4 linked regions of the Rhinolophus ferrumequinum genome follow. The protein of the gene in region 4 interacts with the protein of the main gene of each other region in a biochemical or structural test. Links are inferred from orthologs where the notes say so. Each region holds a gene or a part of one and is shown on either strand. Other genes may lie near its edges. The genes, in order: PMAIP1, HRK, BIK and BCL2L1.

The links.
Region 1: the proteins of BCL2L1 (region 4) and PMAIP1 interact in a biophysical measurement, tested with the Homo sapiens proteins (3 studies listed by BioGRID and IntAct, with this or other methods). The link is inferred for Rhinolophus ferrumequinum from reciprocal best matches to the Homo sapiens genes BCL2L1 and PMAIP1.
Region 2: the proteins of BCL2L1 (region 4) and HRK interact in a biophysical measurement, tested with the Homo sapiens proteins (3 studies listed by BioGRID and IntAct, with this or other methods). The link is inferred for Rhinolophus ferrumequinum from reciprocal best matches to the Homo sapiens genes BCL2L1 and HRK.
Region 3: the proteins of BCL2L1 (region 4) and BIK interact in a test that uses a peptide from one of them, tested with the Homo sapiens proteins (3 studies listed by BioGRID and IntAct, with this or other methods). The link is inferred for Rhinolophus ferrumequinum from reciprocal best matches to the Homo sapiens genes BCL2L1 and BIK.

The regions. Positions count from the first base shown.
Region 1 is NC_046302.1:48,151,071-48,158,549, reverse strand, and holds the start of PMAIP1 (phorbol-12-myristate-13-acetate-induced protein 1), read right to left. Parts: upstream 3,002-7,479; 5' UTR 2,813-3,001; coding exon 2,755-2,812; intron 1-2,754. UniProt on the Homo sapiens protein: Promotes activation of caspases and apoptosis. Promotes mitochondrial membrane changes and efflux of apoptogenic proteins from the mitochondria. Contributes to p53/TP53-dependent apoptosis after radiation exposure. Promotes proteasomal degradation of MCL1.
Region 2 is NC_046308.1:10,643,975-10,650,484, forward strand, and holds the start of HRK (activator of apoptosis harakiri), read right to left. Parts: upstream 2,297-6,510; coding exon 2,021-2,296; 3' UTR 1,965-2,020; intron 1-1,964. UniProt on the Homo sapiens protein: Promotes apoptosis.
Region 3 is NC_046293.1:5,334,064-5,341,762, reverse strand, and holds the start of BIK (bcl-2-interacting killer), read left to right. Parts: upstream 1-4,683; 5' UTR 4,684-4,778; intron 4,779-7,699.
Region 4 is NC_046306.1:22,755,778-22,763,768, reverse strand, and holds the start of BCL2L1 (bcl-2-like protein 1), read right to left. Parts: upstream 3,009-7,991; 5' UTR 2,715-3,008; intron 1,908-2,714; exon of another isoform or gene 1,613-1,907; intron 1,322-1,612; 5' UTR 1,210-1,321; coding exon 646-1,209; intron 1-645. UniProt on the Homo sapiens protein: Potent inhibitor of cell death. Inhibits activation of caspases. Appears to regulate cell death by blocking the voltage-dependent anion channel (VDAC) by binding to it and preventing the release of the caspase activator, CYC1, from the mitochondrial membrane.

The sequences.
Region 1 (7,479 bases), on a different chromosome or scaffold from region 4:
TCAAACACAGCAGAACAGATGTCAATTACCACAGAGTCCGTGTCAGTGAGACTTTGGCAGCCTCAGGTGATGTCATCCTTTTTTATCTCATTTAAGGTTGGTTGGGGAACTGAAGTCAAATTCTAAAATCTTCAGTGTTGTTTTCCAATAGGACTTATTTTTTAAATGGCCATAACACATAGCTCAAATTATGCCCTCATTTATAGGCAAATCTAAAGGTATTCTTTTCCTCACTTAAAAAACCTCTAAAAATTTCTCATAAAAGACTTATAAAACCATATTCTAAAATTAACCCCACATTCTCTAAAATAATTTAGAAGTTTAAATTTTACTCTAAACCAAATTCTTCCTCCAAACCCAACCTCTATCAATCCACTGCCTTCACGGAGACAACTGAAGCAGAAAATAAGTAATATTTACTTCACACATTTACTACTTTTTTAGGATGGAGATACTGTAATCAACTGGATATTAATTTAAGAAAAATATTGCTTATCATCTAATTTCCAAGTAAATTTTTTAAGCAAGTGAAATTAACACCAAATCTATACTGACCATAATTTCAATTTTGTGGATATTTCAATGAGCGACTCAGGGTCTTTTGGTCCACTTCAAGATCATGACCACGAACATTAAAAGTTATTATGATGGGCCAGCCCGGTGGCTCAGGTGGTGGGAGCGCCGCGCTCCTAATGCCTAGATCGCCAGTTGGATTCCCACATGGGCCAGTGAGCTGCGCCCTCTACAGCTAATATTGTGAATAACGGCTCTCCCTAGAGCTGGGCTGCTTTTGTGCCCCCGGTGGCCAGCATGAGCAGCATGAAAGGCTGGCAGCCAGCAAGAGCCCCCTTGAGCTGCCAACCTACGGGGACTGACTGCCTCAGCCTGGGGGAGCACGAGGCTCATGATACCAGCATGGGCCAGGGAACTGTGTCCTATACAACCAGACTGAGAAACAACCGCTTGAAGGCGGGTGGGGGAGGCGGAAGGGGAAAAAAAAGTCATTATGACTACAAATTGAAATCTGGTTTTATTTTGTAAACACACCCTGCAAAGACCCTATTTAGGCTCAAAATGAAAAGCTGTAAATTTATAATAAAGTGTATTTTAAAATTCTCTCGTTACAAGAGCAGGGTGAAATTTTCATAATCTCTAACAAGAGACCTAATGAATATCATAAGGTGCCATTCTTTATAGGATACAAGTCAAACATTTTGAGAGGTATTTACAGTCATGTTCTTTGCAGTAAGTGGGATATATTAACCTACCATCCTTAAAAAAAATTTACGCTGCATACAATTTTGGAAGCCCTGAATTATAAGAGGAAAAATTACCCCTCGCACTCACCCCCCCCAAAAAAGGCAGAAAATAGCCCCTATTTGTTTCCTTAATCTTTTTGTTAGTTACACATGTATAAATGTACTTTAAAAATTGTAACTATGTGTGGTCACGGATGTTAACTTACTGTGGTAATTATTTCACAATACACACACATATCAAATCATTATGTTGTACCCCTAAAATTAATACAATGCTATATGTCACTTGTATCTCAACTTTTACATATAGTACTATCTAATTAAGTTTAAGAGGGACCTTTCTACTCTTCCTTGTTCTTGGGAACTAAGTAAATTGGCTGGGTAAAGGTTACGCACAAGTTTAGACCTTTCCAAAACATGGTCAGGACTATTGGACATCACAAAAGATTTTAGAAAAATTTTTCCCTCCCAAGCAAGAGCCAGAGAGAGCAGTCTGGTGCCAACTTAGCCATGGCCAAATTGCCAATGCACCACTTCCTTTGCAAGTCCCAAGAGCTCTATAAAATGAAACTAAGTTAAAAAGGGGGCCTATTACTAGCTGATGTAATAGCAGTATGGCCCACACGGATTTTTGAGGCCAAAGCTTTGCTGCCTTTTTTCCTACTGCCCCTTAACAGATGACTGCCTTGTTTGATAAGATTTATAAAAAGGGCGCGGGGGGTGGAGGGGTGGGGGTGGGGTAGGAGCTGACCTTAAGTTATTTGATGGTGCTACGGTGGGGGCAGGGGAGGAATGGAAGGATCTTAAAAACTGGGGACCAACTCCTGCTCTTTATCCCTACTCCGCAACTAATATCGATTGTTTCAAATGTTATACAATGTACTCTTAACAAAGAAGCAAGACTTTCTGGGCCCCCGAACGCAATGGTCTCTTTGCGGCCTCCACCACTCTTCAGCCGGTTGTGGAAGAGCTGTTATCAAGCGTCCTCACTGCTTTTGTTTGGGGGTGAAGCGAGTGCTAAGGCTCGGAGCAGGGCCTTCGACGGCCCACGACGCCCCAGGACTCGGAAGGGTGAGGCCCTGCCTTAGGAAGTGCTGGGAGGCCAGGCGGCTCCCGGAGCTTCTCCCTTCCCCACCTGCTGGGATAATGACTTTTCCTCGTAGCCGACGCTCGCACTTGCACTTTCCCCCCACCGGTGGCCCTGCGGCAGGGCAAGTAGGGACACAAGGCGCGCGTAGAGGAGATTTTTTGCATCCGCTAAAATGCAGCTGCATCCCAATCCCAGACCGGGCTCCCTCCCTCGCCGTCTCCACAGTCCTAGGTAAAACCCCTGAAGAACTTCCAGGAGGCGCCCTTACAACACGTGCAAGGACGCAGACCCCGCCGGACCTTGAGGCCCAGAGCAGACTGACTGACCCCACCCAAACTGAGATCTCGACCCCGGCCCCGGCCCCCACCCCGGCCAGGATCGCCGCGGACCCCATCTGGTCCCTACCTGCCGGGGCCCGCGTGGGGCTCGGCTGCGCGTTCTTACGCGCCTTCTTTCCAGGCATCTCCGCGAGCAGCCGGCGGGAAGTCTGTTGCAGACCTCCGGGGAACTCAGTCCCCCAACCTTGGGTTGCACCCTGGGGTCTACAGGACGCGAGCTGCGCGCCAGGCGGGCGGGCTGGACCTGATGGGAGCCGGCTGGAGACGGCACTCAGTGGGTAGCCGAGAACCTCGGGTTCTGGGGAGAAGCAAGAGCCCACGCTCACGTTTTACAGGGACTTCCCGATGACGTAGCGAAACTAGACGCCAGGCCCGCCCCTTTCCCCGCCCCAGCGAGCGGCAGTGGCCCGGGGTGCGCGCGCCTGGCCTAGGGGGGTGTGGGAACCCCGCGCCACCTCGCGCGACCTCGCGAACACGTTCCCGACCCGCGGCGGCGCCGACCCCCGGCGGGAGGTGCAGGGCGCTCGGCGGGCGAGACCTTGCCCAGTCCCGAAATCACTTCTGTCACAGACGGGGTGAGGGAGGAGGGGGTGGGGCCGAGGGACCTGAGGTGGAGTCCGCTGCAGTGGTGGCGGGGTCCAGGAGTCCGGCGTGGAGGAAGGTGTTCCTAGCAGGCAAGCCGGGGCTGGAGAGGCCGGGAACTTCGTCCTTATCATAAATGGGCAATTATAGACTTCTGTAAACAAAGCCCCCAAAAAGTTTGGAAAGGCAAGTTTTTTACACTCGGAGAACGTGGGGAGTTTCAGGAAAGTGCAATGAAGAGAAGTTTAATAACAGAAGGCATGATGCCAGAGGCCATGGGAGTAAATAAAGTACCAGATTGACACTTGGGAAGTTAGCTACAAATTGAAACACTGTTTTGATTTGGAAGGAAGGGTGTGTGTGTGTGTGTGTGTGTGTGTGTGTGTATTTGTAGACAGGGGGCTTCCTCTCTGGAGAGGTCGATGTTGCTCATTCCGGATGCTAAGTAACCTAAAAAAAAAAGTGCTTTATCCTACAGAAAACTTTCAAATGCTTTTGTGGAGGGAGGAATGAGCTACCTGGGAATACGAAGTTAATTTGCACAATGTGTGGCTGGCCCTTGACTAATTCCATTATTATGAAAAGAAGTAATTCGGGTTGGTTAACAGGTATTGAGGGCCGCTGCACGCTCAGGCTTTTAAGCGGGCATTTTCTCCTGTCCTCAAAACAACGCCAAGAAACGGGCGTTTTTACCATAGCGGTGTTGCGCAATTTACAGGTGCAAAACTGAGGTTTACCGAGGTGAAGTGAATTATTCAAGCTCACGGAGGCAGAGAGCAGTGCCAGGATCTGAACCCAGGCAGGCCCACAGGGAGCCAGAGCTGTTGTCCACTGCAGCCTTCCGGCGATCAGTTTCTGAGAAAATGTATGCTGCTTGTTAGCCCCGCTATTTCATGCAGAGGTTGCAAATTGGCTGCTTAGAGTTGCGTGGCTTCCTAGTAGAAATGTTTGGCTCACAGGATTGGTCTGCAAAATGTCTTGTGAACATTTGCATTGGTTACCAACATTTAAAATTGAGAGACTGAATTAAAACCCTGGATTTCTGGCGTCCTTTGGAAACTCAGACAAACCTGCGATCCGTTTTCCAAACGTGCTTCTTCCCTTAGGGAGCTGGAGCCCCTGTCAGCCACACTCCCTGCTGTTTGTTTTCTCATTTACATTATCTGGCCCCAGTAGGCAGTTGAGCTTGTTTATTTACCTGAAATCATTCAATCAACACAAATCTTCGACTATTTATTTTGGCTTGGTCCAGCAGAAGCATAGACAACACTGGAAGCCTGGAACAAAACTGCGATTTGAGTTTAAACAACTTCGTTTTGAGTGTGGTAAACACTTTGGGATTAAGAGAATTCGGGAGTTTTCTACCAGTGGCAAAGAAAGCCCTGCGGAGCTGCTGGAGAGCCCAAAACCACTGCGGCTCTCCTCGAGGCTTATTCTGATAAACCTCACTCTTAAGGAACATCATTAACTTTCTGATAGGATAAATTAGTAAACTTCTGAGACAATCATGGACGCTGAAAGGCAATGACAACATTCAACAAAAGAAAAACAAATTATGTCATTGTTTACCTACAAAGGGCGTGTTGATCCGGTCCTGTCATCTTAGCATTATAAAAGCTTGTTGGTCACGTGGTCCACACAAACCTAGGCAAGCTGTGTCTTTTAGAGAATTGCAAATTCGAAAGAAAAGGAAGGAGCAAGTGGGGGGAGGTGGGCTTCAGAGAGGGGTCAAAATCAGCCATTTATGGAGGACTTTTTAAGATGAGTTTGAGACGCCTCACAGTCTTTTTCAGACCCAACATTCTATTAAGGGAAATCGAAGCTGAATGTGAAAAACCTTTCTTAACTATCCACAGAGGGTGCCCAAAAAATGGATACACATTTTAAGAAAGGAAAACTGTACTAAAATTGTAATACTCAATATATACCGATAACCAAAGATGAATACATGTCACATTTGACTTCTGCAATTACAAGAGGTGCTCAAAGTGGTTACCATCAGTGTCCCAACACTTCTGATTATGGCGAACTACTGCTTGAGCAACGCTGACCAAAGTGTCCACTTGTACACATTTTTTGGCACCCCCAGTATGTCTCTGGAAAAGTGATGTATCATTTAATGAGAACTTGCACGAAATATAAATATGGAGATATTTTGACCACTGGTACTGATAAAATAAAATTTTCTCATGAAGCATTAAAATCCCCTATTATGTTTTTGTTGTTGTTGTTGTTGTTTTTAGGACTGGTGAGAGCAACAATTTTTTTAAACTACTACTACTACCAGATATAAGTTTTCATGGACCAAGTTCAACAATGACAATGCAAATCTGGTCATGCTTGTGTTGTCACTTCCCATGTTAAAAAAAAAAATACTGGAAAACAAAACAGCAAACATGATTAATAATAGAATAGTCATTCATATAGCTCATGTGGAAAATAGGATTTAACAGGAAGACAAGAAGATATGAGCGATGAATAAGGGGGAAATTTAAAGGAAGCCAGTGAAGATATATATGTATAGGCTGTAAACCTAAGTCTGTTTATTCCTGTAAAAGGGGACTTGTTTGTTTTTTCCTGTAGAGCATGTTTGTTAACACGAAGTCACCCTGATGCATTAATTGGTTAAATCTTTCTTTAAGACAGACACTGGGTTAGGCTCCGGGGAGAAAGTGCTTTCTAGCCCCCATGGAACCTGTGTTGAAAAGAGCAATACCTTACAAAAGCATGGTGCGAAAGACTGCCTTGTTAAAGTTCACTTCTGATTCTGGAGATCTAGCTGGTCTTAACATACTGCTTCTTAAACATACTGGTGATGCTGAAGCTTCTGGTCTATGGACAAGGCTAGAGGCTGATACAGGTAACCACACAGGCAGGTACAACAAGATGTGCCTAGAGCTGGGCCAGAGAAATGATGGCAGACCATGGGAGGTCAATTAAGCAAGAAAGGGCGTCTACATAGACACCTGAGGCATAAATAGGAGTTGGCCAAGCAATGAGGCTGAAGGGAAGAAGTGTGTTCCCTGCGGAGAGTGAAGAGCAGTGGGAAATGGTGAGAAGTAAATGGGGAGAGAAGCTGCCTGAGGAATTTGGGTATTATTGTGGAAGCAGTGAGGGCGGGGGGAACCACTGAAGGTTTTAAGGAGGTGGGCGATATGATCAGATTCTGGAGAGCTCACTCTGGCTGCAGTGTGACTAGATTAGTTGAGCTGAGACTGGAGACAGTGTGACTAGTGAAGATCCTGCTGGAATTCTCATACCTGATGGTAGTGTCAGCAAACTCACTGTTTTAACCGGTCTTATTAAAATTCCCATATTTCCTGACTGGGAGAGGACCCCCTTCTATTAGAGCAAGACTTGATATTTTTCAGCATAAATATAATTGACATCTTCACCTATATTAGTTTTCTGGAGCTGCCATCACAAAGCACCACAAACTGGGTGTTTTAAAACAATGGAAAGTTATTCTTGCACCGTTCTGGAGGCTGGGAGGCTGAAATCAAGGTGTCAGCCTTGAGGTGTCAGCCTCAAGGTGTCATGCTCTCTCTGAGGGCTCCAGGGGAAGAATCCTCCTTTGCCAATTCCAATTTGTGGCAGTTCCTGCAACACTTGACTTCCAGATGTATCCCTCCAATGTCTGTCCTGGTCTTTACATGACCTTCCCCTCTTTGTGTCTGTGTTCAAATTTACCTCTTCTTATAAGGACATCAGTCATTGCATTAGGGCCCCCACCAATCCCATAGGACCTCATTTTGACTTGATTACATCTGCAAAGACCCTACTTCCAAATAAGGTCACATTCATAGGTTGGCAGGTGGGGGATAGTGGGGAATTAGGACTTCAACATATTTTTGGGGGGACTCATCTCAATCTATAACGTCTCCCTTTACCAATTGCCTTTTTTAAAAAGTTCTATGTACTCGTATAAACCTTTCCTCCTATTTGTAATTTGTACTTTTTTTTTCTTTTTTTTTTAAGGAGCGGGCAGCTCACAGTGGCCCATGCGGGGATCGAAACAACAACCTTGGTGTTATTAGCACCATGCTCTAACCAACTGAAATAACTGGCTATCCCTGTAATTTGCACATTTTAGAAACCAAAATTCCCTTAGTAAACTTGACAATGGATTTAAGCAGCCTGAAATAAAGCTCAAAAGCAGTATAGATAATGTAAGAAATAAGATGACTCCTGAGGGAACAGGTTTAGAAGA
Region 2 (6,510 bases), on a different chromosome or scaffold from region 4:
GCGCACACATAGTGGGGCTCTGGCCGGACGTTCCCGCCCCCTGGGTGGGGCGCCCAGCATCCCCGCCTTTTCCTGGGAAGAGAACGCGTTCCCAAAACCTAACCTGGACCCCAAGACCAGAGGAAGCCGTGTCCTAGCCCGCCTCCTCATTTCTTCTGGATTCTTCCAGCTTCCATCGTTCCTTCTAGCCCACTTTCCTACTAGCGTGCAACTTGTTCTCTAGGCTTTTTCTCCAGCTCCCGCGCGCGACCTTGCTTCTTTCCCTGTCTCGCCACCGGTTTTGTTTTGTTTTTTTTCCTTCTCTTTCCAACCTTTTCTCCCCCTCCTTTTCCCAAATTCCACGCTTTGGCTTCGCATCTCTCTCATCTCCTCTCTCTCTCTCTCTCTCTCTCTCTCTCTCTCTACTCTCTCTCTCTCTCCTCCCTTTTCTGCTCCCTGCGTCCGGTCCAAAATGTTGTTCCCTCCCCTGAAGATTTGGCAGCCCCAGCCTGGCCTCTACCGGTCGAAGAAGACCCTCTTTCCCGAGAGAGTAGTAGCGTATGGGACCTCCGGAGTCGGGCAGGAGCGCCCCGAAGCGCTCACCTCTTCGCCAGCAGCCCGGGCTGCGCAGGCCCACGCGACATCTTTCGCCTGCGCTTCCACGGCTCCACACCCTGCGCACCCCCGCAGCTCCCGGGGCGCTGCCACCCCCCACGCTCCGGCTGCCGTCTCTCTCCCGCGGGCGCAGACGCTCGGGCCTCGCCTCCGGGCGCCGCGCCAGCTTCCCAGGATGTCAACGCTCGGTGGGGCTGAGACGCGACCTGAGCGCGGGGCATCGTGGGCCGTGGCATCTTGGTGTCTCTGGCTTTCTCACCTTCGACCTTCACCTTCCCACCCTAGACCTGCCTATGGTGGACTCAGCCTGATTCTCTCCACCCCCATGCTCTGCAGCTCTCCTCTCTATTCCAGAATCTGAAAAGACATTTCTTACACGTTTGCTCCCTCAAAGTGCCTAAACGTAGTGCCAGGCACACAGTTGGGGATGAATAATTCCCCAACCCCAAGAGCCTAGAGCACAGTAGGTGCTCAGTACCTCACTCCCACTGGAGCGCCAAACACAGTAGGCGCTCAATACTCACTCCCCACCCCCACCACCGCGCAATGCCTAGCATTCTGCAAGCTCTCAAACATTCCCTCGCTAAACAGGGCCTAACACCCAGAAGGAGCTCAATAAATGCCCTTTCATTAAGACTTCCCCACGGAGTTTCCCTAAGAACCTCAGATCCCAGCCTACTGCGGGGGCATCTCCTCCAGCTCAGTTCCAACCGTCTGGTGAAGAGTGGGCCACGATCCTTAAACGGGACACCTCGCTGGAGAAAGAGCGAAGAAGTTGGCAGAGCGGAGGAAAACTGTAAAGCGCGCGGGCCTTTGGGAGAAAGAGAGCCAGCCAGAAACCTGGAGGGGGAGAAGTCGCGAGATGCGCTCGGGGCGCGGGAGAATAGGGAACAGAAACTGGAGGAGTGACACTTAGAACGGGGAGTGGCGATGATGGAGACGGTGGCGATTTAGGACCGCCAGGCGGCTCGGAAGAGGATGGGGCGGGGGGGGGGGCTTGTCTTGAAACAGCGATAGATTATAATTATTTGGCGTGGCTTGTAACTCTGTTGTCACAGCAAGCACACTTTTTACTTGTGTGTTTACTTGATTATGGAGGCTGAAGTCCTCCAAAAGCCACCCCTTTGGAGGGAATGGCAAGATGCGCGTAAGGAGTCGGAGAGAAGGGGACAGAAACGGTGGACCTGACACTTGGAAGGAGAGATGGGGACTGGATAGGAGGGGCACGGGGATCCTTGCGAGAGAAGGGAGTAGAGGAAGGAGATGGGAAGGGAAGAAAGCCAAACTTGCCGCTCTCCCGCTCCCTGGCCAGCCTAGCGTCTCCAGTCCCCAGCTGCCGCGCCCTGGCGCTCGCTGGCTGGCTAGCGTACCTGTTGCTCGCTCCGGCTGGGTCTCGGCTCCGGCCCCACCAAGAAGCCCCGCGTTCCTACAAGTTCCGCCTGCCGAGCAGCCAGGCCGCCAGCGCCGCCACCTGCGCGGCCGCGCACAGCCAGGGCCAGTAGGTGGGGAGCGCGCCGGGCGCCGGCGCCCTCCGGCTCCGCGCGCGGCGCCGCCACATGGTGCGCTGGTGCAGCTCGTCGCCGAGCGCCTTGAGCCGGGCGGCGGTGAGCTGCGCCGCGGACGAGCGCAGACCCAGGCGGCCTGCACTGCAGGCGCACACGGCTGGGGGGCCGCGGCCGCGGTGCAGGGGGCACGGGCACATGACCGCTCGCCTCGTTCCCTCCCCGCTCTCGGGCCGCCCCTCGCCTCCTTTGCCTCCGGCCTCTGCGCCTGCCTCCGCCGCGCTCCAGCCGCCGGGGACCTCCCCTGGACACCAAGTTTCTCCTTGTGTTGTGCGTTTGTTGTGCTGACGGCGCTATTATTAATTAAAGTGTCACATGGTGGAGGGGGGCGGGGAGGGCTGGGGGAGGGTGGGTTACATCATCCGGCCCCGGGAGGGGGGGGCTGCAGGCAGAAGAAACCGAGAGGTAACTTTTAACCCTAGCGGCGCCGGCAGCGAGGGGGCGCGCGGTTTGGGAGCAGAGGAGCGCGGCGCTGGGACGCGAGATAGGACGCCTCGCCGCGGAGGTCCCGGGCTAGGGCGGGGGATGTCGCAGGGGACCCCAGTGGAGGCGTGGAACGCCAGGAAAGGTTTTTCTCCTTCCGTTTTTTCCTGAATTCAGCTCCAGTTCCAATTTGGCCAAGGAAGCAGGCTTGTTTGCCGTTTTGGATAAAGCTGATATCGAATTCGGCTGCATTATTCAAAAATAGTCCAAGGCTATTGTTTTGTTTTGGGGAGGTGGGTTGGTTCAAAATCTTACGAGAGGGCCAGATTCAACCCAACCTGCCTACTTTCAGGTCTCACTCGGCACCTGTAGGCTTCGGATTTGGGCACACTGGACACACGCCCCAACCCCTCCTCCCCACCCCACTGCTCTTCTTGGCCAGACGGCACCCGCCCCCCGCGCTGCTAGAAACCCTGATGGAGGCGCGGTGGGGGTTGCAGAGGTCGAGCCTCAGCCCTCGCCCGCATTCTCTGCGCTCCGCACTCACAGCGGAAAGACCCTCACCAGGGGCTTTCTAGAAGGAAACTCATTTTTGTCGGCTTCCTTTGTGAATATTATTTTGCTGCCGGGGTTACAGTTTCTAGTGGTGATCACAGTTCGATGCGCAGTAAAGACCCTAAGGGGTCGACAGGGGTTGGGGTTCCACGGGGACATGAGCCCCTCTCTTTCTAAACCGACTGTCCTAGGTCCCTCCAGACTAGAAAGTGTGGAGTTGTTCCTGATAGTGAAGTTACAGATGGGCGAGGGGGCTCCCAGGATTCTTTGAGGGAGAATGAGACCTTCTCCGATCTTAAATCCATTGGGATTCAGATAACTTTTGAGATTCAGAAATGAGGAATCTTTGATTCTCTGCTCCCCACAGGCAGTGTTGCCAAGGCCTGGTAAGTCCTTTGGTCACTGGGAAAAGATTCTTCAAGACAATTGCACTTAGTTTGGGTCTGGATTTAGTATGAGGAGAGATTTTTCCTCCTCTACAGCATGTCAGGGCTCAGATATCAGCTCTGCTATGTGATCTTGGTGGCCCCTACTGTCAACCAGCCCCATTCTCTTACCCCTAATCATGGCCAACACTTCCTCAGTGCCTTGTATGTAAGTTCCTGGGCTATGGTCCCTGCCTGGCTGCCTAAAGTAAATCTCCCAACAGTTGGGGGGCAGGGGGGGGGTTGCTATTACTATCCTATTTTGCAGATGAGGAAGTTGAGGCACAGGGAGGTGAGGCCACTTGCCCAAACTCACAGTTTGTGAAGAATGAACCTGGATCTAAACTAGAACTGTCTGTGGCAGGCTCTAAACTCTTAACCACGGTTTTATACTGCCCCCTGTAATCTGGGAATAATAATACCTCCTTCTCAGGATCACGGCAGCAGAGATTAAATGAGAAAAATGTGTGCCAAGCACCTGGCATGCAGTGGGCCCCGGATAAACCTTGGTTCCCTTTGCTTCTGGCCAGAACCACTTGCCCATTCTCTTGGGACTCACCTCCTTAATCCCCCCTAGTCTTTGCAGAGGGGACCTGAGCCATTGCCGGGTGTAGTGTTCCAAGAATGAAGCTACAGTGTCTATTTAAAAGGCCCTTTGGATTTAAACTGAACCGTTCCCTCCTCCCGCCCACCCCCCCTTTTTAATCTGCACGCTTTTAACGGCTCACTTCATGGACATTAATTTTAATGGGACGATTATTACCCTGTTTGGAAGCCTGCCCCTCGAAATGCTGGGCTCGCAAGGTGGCGCTGGGTTGGGGCCCAGCCGCTTGGATGTTTTCTGTAGCAAAGAGAGTACAGCGTTGGCCATGGGGATGTGTCATTCAGCAGAGGGAGAAGAGAAGAGGGTGATGGAAAAGTGGGGGGAAAGAGAAGGTCCCCACACCCCACAACCACCCCCCACCACCACCACACATACTGGTCGTCGGACATTCCCTGATTGGCGCACACTGGAGTTCTGGCCGATTCCACTGTTCACTACTCGGGGAATGCGGCCTAGAGATGAGGCTCTTTGGAGCCTCCCTTCCTTGACTGTAAAGTGGGAATAATAATAGTACCTACCTCACAGAGTGAAATAAAATCATACTGAAATAAATCCCCCTTAGCACGGTGTCCGCCGTGTCATCCGCGTTTAATAAAGTTTGGCTGCTGATAATCTTTTTAAGTAGATCGTGTTGTCCCTAAACAGTGTGCTTTGAAGGATGTTGGAGGGCCCGCACCCTCAAAGAGTACATCCGGTTCCCCTACAGTGAATTGGTGATTCTTTTGCTGATGTTAAGTGTTGTCCAGAAAAGGCAACTACTTCGGGAGAGTAACAACAGAAGGCTGTCCTAACACTTTAGAAAAAAGGAGTGTTTTCTTTTAATGCTTAATTTAATAAATACTTACATAGTGCTGACTGTGCGCTGGGCACTGTTCTAAGTGCTCAGACATATCAACTCATGTAACCCTCCTAACAACCCATCTCATGGCACAGGTACTATTATTTATCCTGGATTATGGATGACTAAATGCGGTGGAGCATTGAAATCACTTCTCCAAGGTCATATAGCTGTGGGACCCCAGATGTTGGGCTGCTCTTTAGTATTATTTCACCATCGGGGATTTGGGAAGAGGGAGGGAGGCTGTTACGGGCTGAACGGTGTCCGCCCCCCCCAAGTTTTTCTATGGAAGTCCTAAGCCCCAGTACCTCAAATGTGACTGTAATTAAGTGAGGTCATTTGAGTGGGGCCCTAATCCAACCTGATTGGTGTCCTTATTTTTAAAAAGGGAGGGCCACCAGGGGCACAAGAAGGTGGCATCTGCAAGCTGAGGCCTCGGAAGAAACTTACCCCGCCGACCCCTTGATCGGGGACTGCTGGCCTCAGAACTGGGAGAAGATAACTTTCTGCTGTTGCAGCCACTCAGTCTGTGGCACTTGGTTGTGACAACCTGAGCAAATGAATACAGAGCCAATGAGACGTGAGGACTCTCCTGAAAGGGATGTTAGAAGCAGATATTCACCCGACTTTGGCTGCTTTTACTGCCAGCATGTGCTTGCACAGCTTTGTGGGTTCTTTGTGAGAAGGGTTGCATTCTGGGGACTGTTCGCCTGTTCCCCCTCCTTCCTTTTTCATGCCCTGTTGGAGATGTTTAAAGGAGGGGTTGTTTTAGGGGGTTATTTTGAGAAATACTTCATGAAATACAGAGAAAACTTTCCCTACCAGTTGCAAGGATGTGTTACCTCTCTCTCATAGAGTGAAGAAATAAGACAGAATTTTTTAGTCCATGAAGGCTTCCTCTGATACCCCAGTGCTTAAAATTGGGCAGAGCACATAGCAGGGGTTCAGTAAATATTTGTTGAAAGGAAGACTCAAGGAATGACTGAATGGATAAATGAATGAATGGTAAGCATCCTGATTTGTCTTTCTTTCAGACATACACAGTGATGTACATAGAATTGTTATCATCAATAACACAAAAAATTTCTTGTCCCAAATCATTTCCTTACCTCCTGCAGAAATCACTGCTCAAGTGTTTTGAGCAGGAAGGGGAGGAGGATTTCTTTTCTTTAATTAAAACAATAATTACCTATCCTGGTGTTTGAGACCAAGTGAGCCTTACCTTATGGTGTTTTAATTCGTGTGGCTTGGTGAAGTGGTAAATGAATGAACAGCTGTTGCTGCCTCCAAACAGCTGTGTTTCCTAAAGCCATGTATTAGTGCCAAGGCCAGATTGGATGCCAGGAGTTGGTGAACAACAGAGCTCTTGAATCAAAGAGTCATAGCAGCGTGGTTTCACACTCTGAGCCAGAGAGACCTGGGTTCGAACCCTAGCCCCACCAAGCAATAGCTAGGTACCTTCGGGCATATTTTTCACATTCCTGAGCCTCCACTTTTTCATCTGTAAAA
Region 3 (7,699 bases), on a different chromosome or scaffold from region 4:
GAGGCTCCGATGTGTTAGGCCGTGCTGGAGCTCACATAGCTGAGAAGGGAAGTCCTTACCCCTCATCCCCCAGCATCCATGCCCCTCTACCCTGCAGCTCAGCTGGCCTCTCCAGACCTCAGTCTCCTTGCCTGTACAATGGGAATGTAATAAGGCTTCCCAACAGTTCTGCCCACAGAGGGCCCCACTGACTGTGGAGTCATATGGGCCGGATGTGCAGACCACAAAGTGAAGGAGGTGCTGCTAGCCAGCTGCAGGGGGAGAGGGCAGCCTGGGCACTTCTGCCAGTTGCACGGAGGTTGGGATGCTCCATTCAAGAGCCCTGGGCACTCTCAGAGACTCTGGGCATCATTTCCCCTCCAGTCTGCAGCACAGGGCTTCCAGATTCCAATTCCTGAAGATCTAGTCCCTTTCCTGCTCAAAGCCCTTCCATGGCTCCCCGGTACCCACAGGACAGTAGGGCCAAACCCACCTTTCTATACCTGTTCTCCAAGGTGCCCTCAAGTACTTCCTCTTCCAGGAAGCCTTTCCGGATATGTTTGCGGCCTCTATAGGAGCTGGCTCTTAGTTTTCCCTCTCCTGAGGCACTTTCTGTCTGAGACCCACTATGTCCTCGTGTCCCAATTTTGTCTCACTGGGGGCTAGGCATTTGCCATTGTCTTTGGCTCAGCTCTAGCCTGGGACAACACCAAACAGTTTTCTTCCTCTTCTTTAAAAATAGGAAGCGATGTTTTCCTGATTACCAAGTTAATACACGTCTATACGGAAAGTCTGGAAAATACAGAAAAACGCGAGGCAGAAACCGGAGCCACCTATCATCCTTACGCTCAGAGATGACCAACCACTATTCCCATTTTGCAGTGCTACACGCCCTTCCAGACTTTTAGATGTGGATGTGTTAAAAAATGGGGGATGGTACTGGACACACTGATTTGCAAGGTGTGTTATTTCATTTAACAGAGGATGCATCTCTCAGATACAGTTTCTTTTGTACAAATGTTAAACTCTTCACCAGTTCCTACAGGCTCCTTCAATAACAGCCTCTGGTTTTATTGACCACCTATTGTGTGCCAGGCACCACGCTGAGGACTGCATAGACTTTCATCCTGACAGCAGCCCTGGGACGTGGGGAATTTCACAGGGGATGGGACTAAGGCAGCCAGGATTCAAAACTCAAGGCTGAGTGACTCCTGGCGTCCTGGCTCTCACCGACCAGGCTGCAGGTTCCCTTCCCGGAAAAGGCTTATACCCCAACCACAATTTCGCTTCACTTTAGGGGGTTCACAGATTTCCTGAAGCCCAGCTACAGACCTCCAAGTGAGATGGGCCAGAGAGACCTGGGTTGGAGCCCCAGGCCTTCAATCTCTTGTTTGTGTGGCCTGGGACCCGCTAGGATCGCTCTCCGAGGCCCAGTTTCCTCATCTGTGCAATGGGGAGACCTACCCTGCAGAGGGCCAGCAGGGGCATGGAATCACCCAGGCAACACTAGGCTCTGGATGGCCTTCGTCCTGCGAAGGTACCCCTATGAGGCGTCCACCAGGGGGGTTGCAGGTGAAATGGCCATTAGGCTGCTCTAGCTCCCGGTAGGGAGCTCAGGCCCAACTGTGGAGAGAACTGCAAAGCCCTTTGATGGGTCCCTCCTGATATTACAAAGCCTCTCTCAAAGCTGGAGGATTTTCCAGATAAGGTGTCCCAAAGCTGGGGACAAAAGTCTGGGATGGCAAGTGGAAAAACAGGGTCATTGAAAACCTGTGCTGGCGCCTGGCTTCCCCAGGTGGGCCCTGGATGCTGAGGCCAGCACTTGGCAAACATGCTTGGCCAGCCACTGCTGCTCCCCCATCCCCCAACCCCGCCCTGGACTTGGGTAGGGACTGTTCTCCATCCTGGAAGTCCCGCGTCCTCACCTCTCTCAAGTCTTTGTACTAAGGTCTACATCCTCAAGAGGCTCCCCTGACCACCCTGGCTGAAAGCTTCCCTGCCCCACTCTCCACTCATCACCTGGCTTTACTCTCCCTCGAGTGCGGGCTCTGTGCCAAGCTGCCCAGAGTCCCATCTCCACTGTCTCTCCCACTAGGATGTGGGCTTCTGACTAGAAAGCGTCATCTCTAGATTCCCATCATCTATCACGCTACCTGATATTTTGTAGGTGCCAATCAATACCTGTTATATGAATGACAAAAAAAAAAAGTTGTATTAAGGACAAAACTGAACCCTAAATTGGTGCCAGAGGGCCTGCTGAGCAGCACGTCCCTAAACCACAGAAAACTGGTAATGGCCTCAACAGGAGAGGTTTGGCTGGCAGGATGGAGGCCCCCAGGGAAAAAAGGGGCTGCCCCACTGGGTCATGGTCTTCTCTTAGAGAGCTGGGTCCACACCCAGCCCGATAGCCCTGGGACACACCAGCAAATCCCAATGGAGAATGGGAAACTGAGGCCCAGGACGGAGGGTGGAAAGGGCACTGCAGGAGGTGTAGGGAGACCCGGGCTTGAATCATCCTCTGCTTCCCACAGGCTAGGTGCCAAGTGGCATTCCTTTTACAGAGCCTCAGTTTCCTCATCTGTAAAATGGGGCCATAAGTTCTCTCTTACCTGTGCACAGACCCTTTGTGGGTGCTCTGTAGTCTGTAACATGAGATGGCCAGCCCCATGGGGCAGTTGTAAGGATTAGAGGAGACAGAAAGTGCTTAGCCCTGAGATAAGGGGACCTGAACAAGTGGTAGGGCTGCCATCATTATTGTTACTGCTATTATCATGCACAATCTAACCCAGGGCCTGTTTTGGATGATAAGAAGCCAGGGTCTTTACAGGCCCAATTCTTATTCAAAAGGTGTTTTCCTCCTCCCGTCCATTTGATCAGCATATTATCTTGGGACCTTGCAAGGCAAATAGTCTTACCCACCCCTGCCTTGAGCTTTTCCATCCCCCACCTTTCTCCAAACTATTCCCCTTCCTCCATCAGTTTTGCTGTTTACTGAACACCGGCTGTGTGCCTGGTACTGAGACCCCTCTGGAGGCATTTTCACACACATCAGGTCTTTTTGTCTCATGAGACCCTGTGTCATTGCTTTCCCTCCAAGTCTGTTTTTTCATTTGCAGAACGCATTTGGAGAGCAGCCTCTATTTTGCAGAGGTCTCCCTCCTGCCTGTAAGGCACCCTGCAGCTATTAGCCAGGGTCAAGACATCCATGCTTTGTGGGGCTCAAGATGATGTGATTTGGGAGGCCTTAAAGAAAGGATTATAACATCAGAAGAGGCCAGAGGCGCCCCAACTGGAGGGAGGGGCCTTAAAACTTAAATTATTCTGCATAGTTTACTAAACATTTTAGGATTATTTCCTCCAGAGGCCCCCTACAGCCCAGCTGGGGAATGGGGGTTGGGAGTGTTGTGTGTGTGTGTAGGGGGGAGGTCAGTGCTGTCAACCCATTTCACAGATGAGAACACTAAGGGAAAAGTAGGTAACACTGTCTTCACTTCACAGGTGGGAAGAAGGGGTGAGGGGGGCTCCACCAGGTAGCAAATGGCAGAACTAGGAGGAGGGGAGCCCCTCTTGACCCTGCTGCTCCCCTGCCCTCAGAGGCTGCAGGACTGAGGTAAACAAGCCTTGTTGTTGTGTTCCTGGGACAATGGTCACTTTGTAATTCCAGCCTGCCTCCCTCCACCTCCGACACAGACCTTACCCCACCCCTCCCTAACCAGCCCCAGGGCTAGGTCCCACCCCACCTGGAAACTTTCTGATTTCACCTCCTCCTCTGGGAGCTTTGGGGGCCTCACTGCCCACCCCACCCCCGCGTTTCCCATGAGCCCAGGAGCCCCCAAGGAGGGCATCCGGCCCCTCTACTGGAGGCAGGGAAATGGGGCTGCGATGAGTTGGTGCGGCTGGAAGGAGGCAGTGGGGGAGGAGTGGGGCGGGAAGACCCCAGGTTTGGGTAGGATGCTGTGATGCTGTTTCTAACAAAGCTTGAGTCTCAGTTTTCACAGTTGTGAAATAGACTTAAAACAGACTTAAAAATACCTAACTCCCAGGGAAGGGGAACGGGGAAGGGGGAATGGCAGTTATTATTTAATGGGTATCGGGTTTATTTTACAAGATGGAAAGTTCTGGAGAGGATGGTGATGGTTGTAAACATTATGAATGTGTTTAATGCCACTGAACAGTACACTTAAAAATGGTTAAGATGGTAAATCTTATGTGTATTTTTATCACAATAAAAAAATAAAAAACACGAAACCAAACCTCACTCCTGAGGCTGCCAGCACAAAGAGTAGGACTCCTGGAGCGCTTGAATTCACGCTGCTACTTACTAAGTAATTTTCTCCTCTTTGAGTCTCCGTTTCCCCATCGGTAAAACAGGCGTGAAAAAAGCACCAAGCCCTAGGGCTGCTTTGAAGAGGAAAGGAGGTAGGTAACCCACGTAAAGATCCTGGGTTATATACCCAAATTCGGCCAGTGGATTCAACCACCTGCATACCTCGGAGCCTACTTGTGTGCAGCCCGAGCTTGGAAAGCAGTGCACAGGGCAAAACAAACTTTGCAAGTAGTAGGCGGCAGAGAGAAGTAAACAAGTAAACAGATCACACTTGTAGCAGTTGTGTTGCTACTCGTACCTACCTGGGTCTTGGATTCAGCGCGCTGGGACTGGAGAGGCGGCCCCGGGGGCGGGCAGGGGCGGGGCTGGCGGTTTATACGGTTGCACGCGGACTGCCAGCTGCACACAGGACGCCTCCTTGCTGCAGTTCTCCCGGCACCGCCGCCAACAGCATCGCTACCCCCGACGCGAGGTGAGTACAAGGCCTGCCTCCCCTGCGGGGACCTTAACCCTGCTGCCGCCCGCCCCCTCCGCCCAGCCCGAGCCCGGCAGGTAAGCGCCCAGGCTGCCATCCTGGGTGCAGAGCGGCTGAAAGGTTGGGGACCCGTGACCAGGTTTTTCTGTCCAGGGCAGCTGTCGGGTGTGTCACTTGCGGACGACGTCTCAAAACCCTGGCTCCGAAACGTCCCCTTTCTGGCGGGGGCTCCAGCCGCGGCCGCGCGGGCCTCAGTCTCAGCATCAGTGCGATGGGCGGCCTCTCCGCGCCCCGCCCGGAGGGCCGGATGCCCGGTTGCCCTGCTCCTTTCTCCTGCGCGGCCTCCTGGGGCCGGGCTCCCTTGCCCTCCCGGGCCGTGCACCGGGCCAGAGCGCGGGACTGGCAGCCTCGGGCTGCGACGACCCAGCCCGGTGTCCACTAAAAAAGAGAAGATGGCGTCGGGCACTGTCCCCGCCGGGACCCGAGTCGCCGCGTACGTGCGAAGGGCTGGAGACAGGCTTGACTACGGGGCGCGGGGGGAAGTCCGGAGCAGGAACTTGCGCGACCCGGGCGCGGCCGCCACCCCACCTGCCCGCGACCTGCACAGGTGCGCCTTTTACAGGTGCGCCTGCGGGTGGCCGCGCACGGACCGGCCGGGGCGCTGCGGCCTGGTCTCGTGAACAGCGAGCCGGCCGGCCGGCGCTCGGCTCTTGGGGGGCCGCAGGGCGCGTTCCATCCGGTGACCGGCAGGGCCTGCCCCACTCGGCCCGAGTGAGCCCCTGTGGAGCTCGGGGCTGGGACTTGTGTGACGCGCTTAGGCCTCCTGGCTGCAAATCACTTTGTAAACCGTTAATTGTTACTGTAATTTTTGCTACAATGTGCCACCCCGGGCGGTGGGACGTTGTTGTTTTTGCTGCTGCTGCTGCTGCTGCTGTAACATTTTTCTTTGGAGCACCTGCTGCGGCTGGGCCCGCGAAAGGGTTTTCCTGGTCAGCTTCGCTCCACCTTCCCAGGAAGGGAGGTGCTCAGTCTTATCCTTCCCCCATTAGGAAGGGGATAGACGATTGAGTTCTATGCTGGCTGCACTCCCAGGACGGAACCTGATTTTACGGATGGAGAAACTGTGACTTAAGTTCCAGGAAGCAATTTAAATGCTGTCTAGCATGTAAAGCCCAGAGCTGTGTTCTGGAAGCCATGCCAAAACCCTCCTCCATTCAGCCACTTTTCACCTGTGTTGTCCTACACGGGTTACTCCACTTCTGAGCCTCAGTTTGCTCATTCTGTAAAATGGGTCCATGAGGTTTCCTAGCAGGTGTAGAGAACACCTACCCAAGTATTGGCTGTTTTTGACTGGAGTTAACACTTTAAACTTATTTCTACTTATTTTGGGCATGCCTTAGGAACAAATCCTTAGGAGTGGCACATTTTTGTACTTATTGGTGCTGTTTTTGCACATCTTCCCTAACTGGTCTGTCTGAGGCAGTGGCTGGGCCTGGGTCCCAATGTTGGCATCTGGCTGTTGTGTGGTGCTCTTCACCACTGTCTTACTCTTCTCCACTCTTCTCCTCTCTTTTCACTCCAGGATTTGGGGATTTCCCCATTTTTTGAACCTCAAGGTCACAGGGTTGTCACTGATTGATTTAGCTGTGGCTTTTCCAGCCTTGCCAACATTAGGTTGTACAAGTTTATTTTTGCTTGTTTTGGGTTTTAAACGTCTGAAATGTTTGGGGAGACTGCCTTTCAAGCTCTGGACTTTCAGCCAGTGCCTCAGAATGTCCTCCTGGGTAGGGAGAACACATTTAATCAACCTTGTAAGTTGGCCACCAGTTGATTTTTTTTTTTCTTTTGGGTGGGAACTATCTTAGCAGGGATATGTATTTCTCCAAGCACCAGGGATCCTGTGACACTTTCCATGGGATGGTGTGAGGCCTAAAATAAATGGAGTGATACGCTCAACATGGTCCCTGTGGATGTCACACGAATCATCCTTCTTTGTTAGCTCAGCTCAGTTGCTGCCTCCTCTGAGAAGTCTGCCCTGACTCTCTCATCTGCAGGTGCAGCCCTCCCTCTCCTCCCACCAGTTCCTTTGTCCTAGGACGTTATTTTATTATCTGGAGGACACCAAAGACAGTGTGAAATGGCCCGTTTGGGCTCACTTGGTGTGAGTTACATCCAGGAGAACAGGAGCCCCAAATGTCATAGCCAAGAGTCGGGGCACACTGGGGAGAGAAGCGGGATAGAAGGTTGTAAGCATGTTAACGTTGTTAGTTTCAGGTGGTTAGTAGGTGTAAAAGCTGGGTTTGCTGAGCTGCAAAGAAACCAGAGAGCACTGTTAGCACATTTTTTTTCACTTCTGATTGTCTCTCTCTAATAAACGGAAGGGTTTTGGGGAAAGGTTCCATTCAGCAGTGTCGTGAAGCTGACCTCAAAGGCATTTTCAATCCTCTCCCTGGAAAGCATCCTGTTTGTAGTGAAGCTATTAAGTTTGTAGACAGTTAATGGCTTCTTGCTTCCCCTGCCTTGGACATAGTGGCTCCCACAAGAGTCGGCTGTTTTTCTCTCTGCCCAGAACAATTCCAAGAGGTTTTAAGGAAGTTCGCGGCATGCTCGGGTTTTGTTGTTGGCGGCCACCAGGAAGCCTGCAGCGGTCCAAAGTGGACATGTGCAGCCACCCCCGCGTCCCTTTGTCCTACTGTGGTTGGTTGGGGCCGGGCCCTGGGAGAAGTACTGAACCCAAGCAGATAAGGCTCGTTGGGCCCCAGGCAGGAGCGAGGCCAGGCCTGGTGTCCATGGCACTGGGCGGGCTCAGGGAGGGCAGCTGCTTTTCCTAGTGTCAATATTAGGATGTGACAACACAAAACATCCACCAGGCCTCGCTGGGCACTGCGTGGTAAACCTGTTTTTCTGGAGGTGGGAGA
Region 4 (7,991 bases):
GCAGAAAGTTATACACTTCAGAGCAAATGAACATAGAGATGAAACACAAACACAATTGGTCACTGCCCTAAAATGAGACAATCCTCAGCCATCCAAGCCAGTGAGAACTCCTGCCTGACCATGTCCTTTGCTGAGAGTATCAGATATGCAAACTCTGAAATCAAGAGAACTTGGTGTCAGGGAGGAAAGCCCAGGACAGGATTGGCACCTCTAGGGGAATAAGAATGGAGGGGCTGTGGGTCCCTGATACTCACTATCTTCTTCAGGCATTCTACTCATCACCCCTTTGCGTGGCCAGCCATTATGTCAGGGTGAGAGGAACACTGGGCTAAGTTCCCACTCTCAAAGGTTCTGGGACAAATGAACACACAGGTTATGTTTTCCTCTGCTAAGAAACTGGAACACAAGTATGAAAGAGTGGGGTCATGAGGGTGACCAGAATGAAAGATGCCTGGTCCTTCAAGAACGAGATCATCTATTTCAGAACAATCAACCTCTTGTGGTGTAATGAGGCCAATCATGTCTTCTTAAATAACACGTCCAATAATCTCCCAGCACAACAGAAAGAGATAGGAGGAAAGGCTGTTGGGGATCTCTCAGACGAGAGGCCAAGAAAAGGGGACACACAAGGGGCATGGTCCTTACCCAGCCGCCGTTCTCCTGGATCCAAGGCTCTAGGTGGTCGTTCAGGTAAGTGGCCATCCAAGTTGCAATCCGACTCACCAATACCTGCATCTCCTTGTCTACGCTTTCCACGCACAGTGCCCCACCGAAGGAGAAAAAGGCCACAATGCGACCCCAGTTCACCCCATCCCGGAAGAGTTCATTCACTACCTGCTCAAAGCTCTGATATGCTGTCCCTGGGGTGATGTGGAGCTGGGATGTCAGGTCGCTGAATGCCCGTCGGTACCTCAGTTCAAACTCATCACCTGCCTCCCTCAGTGCTTGCTTCACCGCTGCCATGGGGATCACCTCCCGGGCATCCAAGCTGCTGCTGTGGCCAGTGGCTCCATTCACCGCAGGACTGTCCGCCAGGTGCCAGGATGGGTTGCCATTGATGGCACTGGGGGTCTCCATCTCTGATGCAGTCCCTTCTGGGGCCTCAGTTCTGTTCTCTTCCACATCACTAAACTGACTCCAGCTGTATCCTTTCTGGGAAAGCTTGTAGGAGAGAAAGTCAACTACCAGCTCCCGGTTGCTCTGAGACATTTTTATAATAGGGATGGGCTCCACCAGTCCATTGTCCAAAACACCTGCTCACTCACTGAGTCTGGTCTCTGCTTAGTGGTTGTCTTCTGAGATCCAAAACCAAGATAATGTTCTAAAGGAAAAAAAAGAGCTTCAGGGAAAAAGAAAATTAACATGCATACCATTTACCCTACAACATCCCAATGCACCTCCAGGTACCAGAACTGGTTTCTTTGTGGCTCTTAGGAAGGTCTGGGTCTAGCTTCCCGGAGTTCAATGAAGTCGAATTAAAAGCACCAGTGGGCTCTGAATCATTACACCGGCCTTTTTTTACCCCAGCCACCCCCTTTTCTCCGAAATGTCTTCCTCGGAAAGTCACCCTCATGGGCAGTCTGCATCCCATCCCCACCCCCGCACCACCTACTTTCAAATCTGTCTCAGGCGACGGCAGGCAGGTGCAGTCCCCGAATATCTTTTGTATCATATAGGTCGGAAGAGGAGGTGGCAGCCGGGATGCCGGTAAGTCAGCCGGCCTCGCGGCGGCTGGCAAAAAAAACAGCTCCGGCTGGAGGGATCATGCGACCCGGCAGGCTGGGAGCCCAGAAGGCGACACAGGAATTAGGAAGCTCACGAACCCACCGCCTCGCTGGCTTCTTCCTCCATCGCCCAGAACGAGGGCGGCCTCCTGCCACCGGGAGCCCAGCCCCCTCGCTCTAGACGCTCCTTGGCTCTCCCTCCGCCTCCTACTGGGAGCCAGGAGAACTCTCCCAGAGGTGGCTGGTGGAGAGCTTAGGTTTTTTTGGTTTTTTTTTTTTTTTTCTATTTAAGTACCGGCCCAGGCTTCCGAAACCCTGAAGGGACTTCTCAATGGGGCTCAAGGTTTCGATGAGGGACGCAGGGAGGGGAAAACTGCTTCGGATCTGCGGTCTGACTTCGGAAAAGCCATCCCCGGGTCTTTCCGGGAGGCTGAAGGCCGGGGACCCCTCAGAAACGCCGCTGGTATTCTTTGAATTCCCCAAAGGCCCTGGACGCGGCGGTGGCGGTGGGGGATTGCCGGGTCCTCCATTCCCCACACGGACACAATGGCCGCCGGCGCCCTGCACAAAGACGGGGTGAGGGTGAGGCGCCGGGCCTCTCCTCCGGTCAGGAGAAGGGTCGAGGCCTGCTCGAGGGCTCCCACAGCCGAGACCACGTTTTCCTGGGGCCAGGCCCGAGGCAGCTTCCTCGTGCCCCCGGGAGGACTTGGGGGCCGGAGGCTGCCGCTCTCCGGAGCCCGGGGTGGGTGGGCTGCGGCCTCGCGGCTTCTCCCGCGCTCAGGGCCGGGTACCCGCCGGGCCACCGCCCCGTTGCTAGGCAACCGCTCTCCCTCAGGGGCGCCCCCTAGACCTTTCTGGGAGGAGGGGTCTCGCCCCCGGCGGCCCGCCCCAGCATAGCCAATCAGAGAGCCCAGTCGGTAAGTAAACGGGACGGCGAGGGCTCCCATTGGGCGCAGCGCCTGCCACGCACAGAAGAGGCGGCACTCTCACCTGCAAGCCCCGCGAGCCGTGGGGGGCCACATCCCCCCTTGTCGGTCAGGTCGCTTCCAGACGCGAGGGCTCTTCGCGGCCGGGTTCCGCGCCGCGGACCCGGGCCGGCCTACCTGGCGGACTGCTCGCGCTGTCTCTTCCGAACGAGCCGGCCTCAGTTTCCCCTGAAGACACCGGGGGAACTTGCAAGCTCAGTCACTTCCGGTGCCGCGGCAGCGCGCGCGAGCCCGAGACGCAAAAGTGCGCGCCTTGAGGACTGGCGTCAAGACCTGGAAGAGAGCGCCTCCTTGCGGTAGAGCTAGGGAATCCGGAGGCGCAAAAAATATATATGTATATATATTTGTATCAACGTTTACATTTCACATTTCCATTCATTTAGTCAATTTCACCCATCCGTCCGCTTATATATCGAAAAAGCATCGTGTTGTGACTAAGAAGCCAGTTGGTCAAGTTACTCAATTGCTCCGTGCCTCACTTTCTTTAACTGTAAAAATGGGTAAATACCAATCTCCCTCATTGAGTTACTGTAAAGATTAAAAGAGTTATGTGTGAAGTCTGTAGAACAGTGTGTGGTCTGTAGTATATGCTGCATAAATTCATTCATAAAATGCTTATTGTTTGGTTTCTGAAGATAGAGTTGGGAACAAGACAAGACTCGGTCCCTGCTTCCATGGAGACTTAAACCCTTGAGATGGAGAGAGACAGTAAATAACTAAGAAAATATACAAACAAGGTAATTTCAAATAGCGACTAGTGCTATAAAGAAAGTAAATAAGGGTATTATCATAAAGGTGGTGAAGGGAGAGGTGCTACTTTAGACTTGGTGGCCAGGGATGTCCTCTTTGAAGAGATGATATAGAACCCAAGACTTGAAGTATAAGAAAATTCACACCTATCAGAAGAGCCTAGAGAGTATCAACCTAGGCAGAAGGAATAGCTTGTGTAAAATGTCCGGAGGCAGGAAGATCTTGGTATGTTCCAGAAGCTGAAGGAGAAGCAATATGACTGCAAGGTAGTGTGAGGAAGGGCAAGTGTGGTGTGAGAGGAGGTTGGAAAGCTGACCATGGAAGTAAGTTGGACTTGATTCTGAACATTAAAACGTGTTTTATTTTGTGTTAATTTGATGGATTAAAAAAATAGGGATACAGGAACACTGAATGTTAAAAACATATCAAAGAGTGTAGAATTAAAAAGTAAGTCCTATTCCCACCCTGCTTTCCAGTCCCCAGTTGCCCTCACAGAGATCATCACCCTTTCCTCTGTGGTCTTTCAGAGATGGTTGCTATATTCACAAACACGTGTAAATGTTTTACACAAACAGTAGCTTGCTATAAAAGCTTCTACATCTTCCTTTTTTGCTGATTTCTACATTTTGGATCTGCCTCAATTTTTAAAATTAACACACAACTTTATAAAGACATGCCATACTTTACTTGCCCAATCCCCTATTTTGGAACTCTTAGGTAGTTTCCAATCCTCTCCTACTACAAATAATACTATAACTTGGCCATTTGTTATTTTACATATGTGGGAGTTTATCTGCTAGGTAAATTCCTGGAAGTGCAATTATCAGTAAATGAGTGTATGGATTTGTTTTTGATTTGTTTGAATGGATATTGGCAAAGTGCTCTCCATAGCAGTTGTACCAGTTTGTCCTCCCATTAGTAAAGTATGAGAGTGTCTATTTCCTCACATCCTGAACTGCACAATGTGTTATCAAATATTTTTATCCTTGCCAATCAGAAATAAAAATTGAGAGGCACTTTTATTTTTCATTTCTTTTCAGTAAGAGTGAAGTTGAGCAATTTTTCATATTTATGATTCTTCTGGGGGGGTGTCTTGTTCTGGTGAAGTCTCTGTTCATTTCATTTGCCCTTTTTTCAGTTGGTCTTTTCAACTTTTTTTCTCATGGATTTATAGGAATTTTTATCCTTTTTTTCTACATATAACTTGTAAATATTTTTCCAGTTTATTATTTATTACCATGGAAAGTTTATTTTGCATGTATTTTATCAGTCTTTTCCTTTGTGGCTTCCGGGTTCTATGTTATTCTTAGGAAGATCTTCTCCAGTTTGATATTATAAAAATAATTCTGTTTTCTTCGAGTTTTTATATGGTTTCATATTTTATATTTCAATCCTTGTTCCATCATAAATTCACTTTGGTGTAAGGTGTGAGGCAGGAATTCAAATTTTTTTTTCTGAATAACTGCCCAGTTATTCCCAATATGGTATACCATCTTTTTTCAACTCATTTGAAATGTCTCCATTAACACAATCTACATTCCCAAGTGTGTTTGGGTCAATTTCTGAACTTTCTGTGATGTTCCATGGAAGGGTTTTAAACTGGGCAGGACATGATCTGCTTTCATTTTTAAAAATCTGTGATGAGATGATTCTTTCAAGGTGAAAATTAACATGATGGAAGTTCACGATGTGCTTTGGGAGCCCAGCAGAGGGCAGATCAACTCTGTCCAGAGACATGGGATTCATTGAACTGGCTCTTAAAAGAACAGGATTTTGCCTACAGTAAGAGAGAAAGGAGGTAAGGGACATTTTAGGCAGAAGGTACTACTTGAGAAAAGGCATGGAGGTCTAACGTGGGAGCCTATGGTGTGTTCAAGAAATAAATTGGGACGGCTAAGAGGGGTGTGGTCGTAAAGGAGAATGAATGTAACTGTGTAAGACCCTAAGTGTGCAGGACACTAAATAGGCACCAAAGGAGCCAGCCAGTCTTTTTAAACAGAAAGGACATGACGAGATTTATATTTTGGAAAGATGGATAGCGTCTTTTGGGAAAGGAACTTTACAATATTTATGAAGAGCCTTGAAAACAGCTCTTGAGAGATCATTGAGAAATGATGTTTGATTGGAATCTAATTTAAAGTAGTGAAAAGCGCCTAGAGATTTATCTTTAACAGAGATATTTATGCAAGGTTATCTATAACACAGGAAAGAAAAATTAAAACTGAAAAGTTCAATAAGTAGGATGATGTTTTATAGGGGTTAAATTTACACATTACAATTGTAATTGAGGAATATGTAATAATGTGGGAAAATGCTCACAACATAACACTGTAAAAAATAGATTATAAAACTATACTGAGAAGTATTCGAACTTATAAAAATGTATATTACATGCAAAATATAGTTGAAGGAATTAAACCAGAATCCAAAAAGGTGGTTATTGTTGAGTAGCAAGATTATGGATGCTTTTATTTTATTTTTTAATACTTTTCTGTATTATCTAAAAATGACTGGATTTTTTAAATTGGAAAACAGTATTTTAAAAACTTGTTTGCTGAGATTTGGACGATGAGAAAATACTTATTGTCTAATGTAAAGTGAAAATAAAAGTATACAAAATTAGATGTGTGATATGATCTCAACTCTAAATAATACCGTGAATGGGGAAAAGGCTGGGAAATCAATATGATAAAGACAAAAGAAAAATGGAGAAACCCCTTGCACAGATGTTAAAGAGTAACAGAACCAGAGATGTCAATAAACCTGACAAGATGCTCCCCCTCACTAGTTACCAGGGAAAATGCAAATTAAAACTTCAGTGAGATAACATTTCATACCCATTAGATTGGCAAAAATGAAAAAATCTAATCAAATCAAGTGTGGTTCAAAAATGTGGAATAACTTTGGAAAAAAAATTTGTTACCTGGTCAAGTTGAAGATGCCCATGACCTATGACCCAGCAATTCTGTTCTTTGATGTATGCCCTAAAATAAGGTATAAGGTTTATAGGGCCAGACCGGTGGCTCAGGTGGTTGGAGCGCTGTGCTCCTAACACCAAGGTCGACCACCGGTTGGATTCCCACATGGGCCAGGGAGCTGCGCCCTCTACAGCTAAGATTGTGAACAATGCCTCTCCCTGGAGCTGGGCTGCTGTGTGCGGCCAGGAGCGGCCGGCTGCCAGTGTGAGCGGCCGGCAGCCATCGTGAGCGGCGGGCAGGCCAGCGAGAGCTGCTGGCTGCTGTGAGCAGCTGACCAGCGACCGACTGCCTCAGCAGGGGGAGCACAAGGCTCATCATACCAGCATGGGCCAGGGAGCTGTGTCCTACACAACCAGACTGAGAAACAACGGCTTGAACCGGAGCAGGGGGTTGAGGGGGTAGAGGGAGTGGGGGGAATGGCAGGGTGGGGGAGGAGTAAGGGGGTGGGGGGGTGAGGGTGACAGCATGGGTGGGGGGAGGCGGAAGAAGGGGGGGAAGAATGTTTATAGCCTCATTACTTGTGATAGCAAAAATTGGGAAACTACCCAAGTGTCCATTATAGCAAAATGGATAAATACATTAATTACTATTTGTTTATACACAGTACTATAATACAGTGAGAAAATAAGTGAATTTAGCTACACAGAGCATGAAAGGATCTCGGAAACATATCACATGAAAACATTTACAAAAAATAATGCAGTATGATTCCATTTATATATAGTTTGAAAACAGGCAAACTAACCAATATGCTGTTGAGGGTTTGTGGTAGCCAGCCACCTCCAAGATGGCCCCCAAAGATCCCTGCCTCCTGGTATTCACATCCTTGTGTAGTCCTCTCTCTCATTGTACCGGAGTTGTGTGTGACTGATAGCAAATGGCAGAGATGATGGTATATCACTTCCAAGACTAGGCTACACCTATCTCTCTCTCATCACTCACTGTGGGGGTAGCCAGTTGCCCTGTTGTGAGCAGCCCTATGGAGAGGCCCCTGTGTGGTGAAGATGGGAAGCTTCCTGCTGAGTCACATCGGATCTTCCTGCCCCAGTCAAGCCTTCAGATGACAACGACCAACTTGACTACAACAGTATTTGAGACCCTGAACCAGAACCATTCCATTAAGCTGGATTCCTGACCCTCAGAAACTGTATGAGATAATAAATGTTTGTAATTTTAAGCTGCTAAATTTGGGAGTAATCCATTCTACAGCAAAGGTAACTAATACAGGGATATATGCATATGTGGAAAATTACACAGAGATGTAAAGGAATTGTGAACATGAAATTCAAGATAGTCATTGCACATTAATAGGTGAGTGTACAGGATAAAGCAGGGAACAGAATTAAATTGGGAGCTTGAAAAGTCATGGAAATGGTCTTATTAAATTGTACATATGCACAGAGAATATGTTGCCTCATTATTCTTTGTACCTTTCATACATTTTACATATGTATGTGTAAATATATTTGTATATGTACTACTCAATATCTAATAAAAGAAAAATTTAAAAGACAGGAAGGAAATATATTCAAATGTTAATGGTGGAGACATTG